Linked DNA regions of Drosophila melanogaster. The protein of the gene in region 2 interacts with the protein of the main gene of each other region in a pairwise test. Each region holds a gene or a part of one and is shown on either strand. Other genes may lie near its edges.

The links.
Region 1: the proteins of RPA3 (region 2) and RPA2 interact in a two-hybrid assay, tested with the Drosophila melanogaster proteins (3 studies listed by BioGRID).

The regions. Positions count from the first base shown.
Region 1 is NT_033779.5:20,924,432-20,928,080, forward strand, and holds RPA2 (replication protein A2), read right to left. Parts: upstream 1,717-3,649; 5' UTR 1,616-1,716; coding exon 1,603-1,615; intron 1,545-1,602; coding exon 1,483-1,544; intron 1,420-1,482; coding exon 833-1,419; intron 744-832; coding exon 665-743; 3' UTR 544-664; downstream 1-543. Other genes in the region: Nthl1 (Nth-like DNA glycosylase 1), read right to left, coding at 2,017-2,433, 2,490-2,660, 2,726-3,193, 3,258-3,368.
Region 2 is NC_004354.4:11,614,508-11,617,708, forward strand, and holds RPA3 (replication protein A3), read right to left. Parts: upstream 1,334-3,201; 5' UTR 1,248-1,333; coding exon 1,011-1,247; intron 940-1,010; coding exon 838-939; 3' UTR 590-837; downstream 1-589. Other genes in the region: CG1703 (uncharacterized protein), read left to right, coding at 1-448; Met (Methoprene-tolerant), read left to right, coding at 2,361-3,201.

The DNA.
Region 1 (3,649 bases), on a different chromosome or scaffold from region 2:
TAATTTTTGATTTGCATGCCTATTATGTTTTGATTTTGATTCCTGAGCTTGTAATTTTCTATGATAAATTCAAAAACTAATGAAATAAAACGCATTGAATGAATTTTATAAATTTTTTGCAATCCGATCTAACTATGCCCGATATACAATCAAAATATGCATTACCTAATTAAACAATTAACTTACTAGCGTTAAAAGTTAGTTAGTTATATATCTAAAAAATAAATTGATAATGAAATAAAGCGGTATGAACTTATCACATCCTTTTATCAAATGAAGCAAAGTGAAACGATTCAAAAAAACTTTATAATCCATTACAATTTTATAAATGAACAAGAATATTAATTAAACATAAAATAATTAAAATATTTCAGGTTTTCTATCTTTTTTGTAAGATATTTTAAATTCCCTTAGGACTATGAATCCGAAGACTTTTCATATGATAAGCCGTAAATATACACATACACCGGCAACTTGAAGAGCAAGATTTCCTCAAATACACATTTTCAACAGTCCCAATAAAAAATATCCCAAAATCACTTTCTGATTATATAAGAAATATTTAATGTACAACTAATATATGGAAAATGTTCCCGTTTTTCAAAAACTTAATACATATATTCAATACGCATTTTTAAATTAAATAGTGGTTACACGATTTGATTTACATTGTGCAAATAAAGTGATCTGCGTCAATGCTGGAATAAATGTGTCCCTCGGAAATCATAAAGTCCAGAATGTTGCTGTAAAAATAGGAACAATAAAATGTTATAATTAATATTAATTAATAAAGAATATCAAATGATGCAATAGTTTTGGATAAACAACTTACGTCAACTCAGAGTCGCTGATGTGGGAGAATTTGGCTTTCAGTTCCTTGCGGGAGATGCCCTCCTCGGAAACATTGCTCTTGATGGCCTGGAATACGGCCTGCTGCTTGGGCTCCAGCCCACTGACAATGGCCGAGCTCTGGGAGGCGGTGAAATCAGCTATGGAGCCTGAGCCGGAAGAAGCCCCTGCACCAGCTCCAGCTCCACCCTTGCTCTGGTAGTCCTCGGCCCTGTAGCGGGCATTGAGTACTTCCAGCAGGTGGGTGCACACCTCGTTGGGATCCAAAACGGGCAGTAGCTTGAAGATCATTAGGGTTTTGGAACCGCCTTGCGACCGGGTGGTGCCGTAGACCTTCACGTAGTTGTTGACCATTACTTCGGGTGCCTTGAGAGCGTCGCCCTCCTCAAGCCAGTAGTGCGCATCGATCCTGCCGCTATGATCCTCCAGGGTGTAGGTGATCTTCGTCGAGGAAGTCTCCACGTTCCGCACTATGGCCACAACACATGCCATGGCGTACTGCATGCCGAACAACTCGATGTTTCCCTCTGGGGCGTCCACAATCTGCTTCACCACCAGGGGCACTATTCCCTAGTTGCAATCATACGGAATCATGTTAGGTTGTGCAACTTTACTGGCGTCTCACTCACTTACTTCTCCCTTTTGATTGCTGGCGGCTCCAGTTGGCGCAGTTTGTGTGGCATTGAAATCTCCAACTAAAACGAGCTTCGTTATTAGTTCCCTTAATTTCTCTGAGCTACGGGCTATACTTACATGAATCATTCATTTTCTTGGCTTTTGAGGGATTTGTAATTGAGTATTCTATATAATTTCACAAGGGCCGCTGGTAAACAATAAAACGCGCGAACGTAGAGCTGATAGTGTGGCCGTAGGTCGAACACGTAGGAATAACATCTATTTAGTATATAAGAAATACGAAATATTGTAGTGTCAATATTTCAATATTTTTCCTGAAAAACTGAATTATTGTAATAAATTGGGAATATACCTTTTTCAGTTAAAACAAAAAAAGAAAAACCACAAAATTTTTTATTTTTTACAGGACTTACAGCCCCCTTAATAATTCATTTATTTTCTTATGGGTAACACAATATTTTTCTTAGCACTAATAATTTCAGAAACACTTAGAAACCTAAAACCTTTTTCAGCGTTCGCTGAACCTCTTTCCTATCGGTCTTTCTTCCTTTTTTCTTTAGTTTCAGCATGGGCTGAAGGACAAATGTCCTTGTTCAGGCACTCCCCACAATTTGGCTTCACTGGGGTGCAAATGGTTTGTCCGAATCCCACGAACAAATGATTGACCTCTGACCAGAGGCTGAATGGCAGCCACTTCTCCAACGCCACACGGGTTTGCTCGGGCTCCTTGGTGGGCTTCGGCACCCAGCCCAGCCTGTTAGAAAGGCGGTGGACGTGGACGTCCACTCCGATTCCGGTTATCTTGTTCCAGGCCACTGCCATGCATATATGGGCCATCTTGGGGCCAACTCCTGGAAGAGCTACAAGGTCCTTGACATTATCTGGAATGTCCGAACCATACTTGTCCGTCAGTATCTCCACGGTTTGCTTGAGGTATTTAGCTTTGTTCTGGAAGAGATCGAGAGTAAGTGCGATATATTTATTTATTATTAATTCCACCAAACCTTGTAGAAGGATACGGGATGCAGTAAATTCTCGAGTTCAGTCACTGGCATTTCCTTTACTTTCAGTGGAGTTAGACCTCGGTCTTTAAGGCGATTCATGGCTTCATAAGTAGTTTGGTCTTTGGTTTGACTGGACAGCATCAATGCCACTAAGTTTTGGAAGCGCTGGGTCTGCAAGGAAGTTGTTTGCTTGTAACATATTCTTCTATGTACTTAATTCCACTTATTGGAAATACCTTCGAGTCTGCTTTTAAATCGGCGCATCGGTGGCATCCCATGGTGTCCACTGGCGCAGTTCTGGAGTTTCTCATAATGCGAATGTTTTCTAGGTGGTTAAACCACAAAGGATGTGGTGCTTGCACCTCAGAAAAAGAAGGGGAATCCTCCGGAGCTTCCTGTTTTATTTGGGGTTCCACCTCCTCTCTTATCTTATCCACTCTCACTGGGGAGTCCACAGCATCAGGGACCACCTTGCATATGACCACAGTAGCCGAACCCATTTGAACTCTGGTTACCATGCGATCATCCTTTCTAAACTTTTTGGGTGCCACTCGAGCTGGAGACAAGGGCTCCATTTTAATGTTAGTTTTCTTCACGGCTTCCCCATTTAAGAGACGCTGCTTGCGGGTTTGCACGGGGGAGAAGAACACTGAGCTACTCGATCCTGCTGCGCCAGCAGATACACCAACCAGATCCTCTATATCCTGGAAGATTTAGAAACTGCGTCTTGAGTATCAATTTCATTGTTTATCATGCATTTCCGCCTACCCTCACGTTATCCGCCCTATTTGGACGACTTTTTATTTCCGTGGGTTTTATAAGATCTCCGCGTTTTGCCAACTTGTTGGCCAACGTTAATTTCTTTACATTTTTGGCCATAGCTAATACAATTTCTGCGCTTCAGTTTCAGTTTCCATGTTTGTTTACATTTCGAACCTATCGATTTCGATGTAGGAGAAACGGCCACACTTTACAACTAAGTAGCCGGGAACATTTGAAATTTCGAAATATTCAACTCATGCAAGTTAGGATTTTAAGAACCATTTTTCGTATGCTACAGCATAATAAGTTATAAGCTATTACAATACATTTTAAGCCACAAATTTAATTTTAATGCACTTGATTTAAAAAAAAGTACAAACTTTTCGATTTCGTTATCA
Region 2 (3,201 bases):
GGAATCGGCTGCAGAGTACCTGCAGCGTCTGTTCAATCTGCCCCACGAAAAGGCGCGTAAGGCATTGGGTTCCTTTGGTTTGGTCAGTCATGCACACACCATCAAGATGAAGGATCTGTCCGGTGGTCAGAAAGCCCGTGTGGCCCTCGCTGAGCTATGCTTGAGTGCGCCGGATGTACTAATTCTCGATGAGCCTACGAACAATCTGGACATCGAGAGTATCGACGCCTTGGCGGAGGCAATCAACGAGTACGAGGGTGGCGTGATCATCGTCTCCCACGACGAGCGTTTGATCCGTGAAACAGGTTGCACTCTCTACGTAATTGAGGATCAGACGATCAACGAGATTGTTGGAGAGTTCGATGACTACAGAAAGGAGGTTCTCGATTCGCTCGGCGAGGTGGTCAACAATCCTAGCGTGGTGGCCAATGCGGCTGTGCTGCAATAACCCTCAAGTTGCATACGGACTTGGAGTCCATGCAACTGGTCATCACTCGTCAGCTGGCTCGCCCTATGTTAATTGTTCAACTGTTGAATTGATTATCTGCTAGTTAGTCTTTTTATACCAACATATATACAATAACAAATTGTGGAAGTAAATGTTATTACACAAGAGCGTTTAAGAATGTGTTGTTTATGTTATTAAATTGTGGGTATTAAGTATTTGTTGTAGAATATACGTGGAACTGGTTAAAACACCCGTAAATTGTACTCGTAATATATGTAGATAGATGATTTATATTTAAAGTTAATGCCAGCTCTGAGTGTTCTCCAAAAAAATGGAAAAAATAACATTAGAGTACATAATATTAATTCTTAGATATAATTGTGGACATCCTAGCCGCTGCGATAGAAGGCCTTGACATTGTTAATCAGGTGGCTCAATCCATTATAGCCATCCTTATCGAAGTCGATGTTCTCGCCGCCAAACTCGATGACCTGCAAATGAATAGTGGGCAAATGGTTTGGGATCATTGAAATAAATGACTCCATGGATTGAGTGCACCCACCTCCTTGGCCCTGAGGGTGTCCGCACCATGGGGCACTCCAATGACCTCGACCCAGGCCCCTTCGGCGGCGCCCAGCTCACCCGGCAGATTGATCTTTAGCTTGTGGTTGTCTGTGGAACTGGCCAGCAAAGTGGATCCCGCGACGCTCTCCACGCGAACCATTATGCTCACGGTTTGGCCGGAAAACTGCTTCAGCATGCCGCCGTTGATAATCGAGCGTGGATCAAAGGCATCCATAATAACTCCTCAGTTAATAACGTTCAAAAAACAGCCAATTTCAGCAGAAAATGAAATGCCGTAAACAAGAAAGAGCGCCAATAGTTATCGAGCGTGCTAATCGATAATAAAATTGCATGACGTCTGCTATCGAAATTATTCGAATTTTGTAGCAAAAATATTTATGGATTTATTGTAACATCAAAAGTTATTACATTATTACTGTGGACTTATGTATTATAATAAGAATTAATAAAAATAATTTATAATAGAATTATAAAAAGACCTGATAGATTACATGTATTACAACAATGTTATCGACAGCGAACAAGATGTTCGAATCTTTCTGATATTTTGTCCGGTGTGAACGTGCGAATTTTAGTACGACAACCAGTTACATCGATGTATCGATAGTTTTTAGACTGGCCAATGTTTATTGTTATAAAATAAATGTTACAAATAAACAATTAATCACTTAGTATAAACAAAAATAAGTGCAAGCAGCAAGTGCGTTGTTAAAACGACCGCCGCCCTCCGAATTTCCTTATTGCGGGCATTAAATCGCAACAACAACAACGCCACCAGCAACAGCAACAACAATAAGCAGGAGATTCAGATTCGCAACGCAATCAAAACGTAAAAAAAAAACGAAAAATAAAAAACTACAAGGCGAAACGCATAAATAAATAGGGAAGCAAATAATAGTAATAATAAGACTAAAAGCAAGTGGAAAAGTACGAAAGCGAAAAGAGAAAACATATGTACGTTGCGTGAGAGTGACGTGTGTGTGTGTGTGTCAGTGAGCGAAGGAGAGTGAGCGAGAGAGGGGAGGCGAGCAAAAACAAAAACAACAGCACAGCATAAGCGAGACCTTGAAAACTTTAAAAGCAGCAAAAAAAACAAGACAACAGCCAAAAATAAGAAACTAAAAGCTGCAAAAGTAATAAAAAATATATTTTAGCCGAAAAATTTCCATAATAACAATTCTAGAAGTGCGGAGCGTACACCCTGTTATGGAGAGTGACGATTTTCATTTACCGCAAGGCGCCAATTAAAGGGGAAAATCCATAAATCGAGGATTACAAGTGGAAAACAAGGAGGCAGTAACTCCAGAAAACGCCCAAAAAGTCCAAAATGGCAGCACCAGAGACGGGCAACACGGGCTCCACAGGATCCGCTGGCTCGACAGGATCGGGATCGGGATCGGGATCGGGAAGTGGGAGCTCCTCAGATCCAGCGAATGGACGGGAGGCCCGTAACCTTGCCGAAAAACAGCGACGGGATAAGCTTAATGCCAGCATCCAGGAGCTGGCCACCATGGTACCACATGCAGCCGAATCCTCCCGTCGCCTGGACAAAACCGCCGTCCTTAGATTCGCCACCCATGGCCTGAGACTTCAGTATGTCTTTGGCAAGTCCGCTTCCAGACGTCGCAAGAAAACCGGCCTCAAGGGAACGGGTATGTCTGCCTCACCTGTCGGAGATCTACCCAATCCCAGTCTGCATCTAACGGACACTCTAATGCAACTGCTGGACTGCTGCTTCCTCACCCTAACCTGCAGTGGCCAAATCGTTTTGGTATCCACCAGCGTGGAGCAGCTATTGGGTCACTGTCAGTCCGATTTGTATGGCCAGAATCTACTGCAGATCACGCATCCCGATGATCAGGATCTGTTAAGACAGCAGCTAATACCCAGGGATATAGAGACCCTGTTCTATCAGCATCAGCACCACCAGCAGCAGGGGCACAATCCCCAGCAGCACTCCACTTCCACGTCGGCCTCAACTTCGGGCAGTGATCTGGAGGAGGAGGAAATGGAGACGGAGGAACACCGTCTGGGTCGGCAGCAGGGAGAGGCGGACGATGACGAGGATCACCCGTACAACCGACGAACACCCAGCCCGCGGAGAATGGCCCATTTGGCGACCATTGATGACCGACTACGCATGGATCGGCGCTGCTTTACCGTCCGCT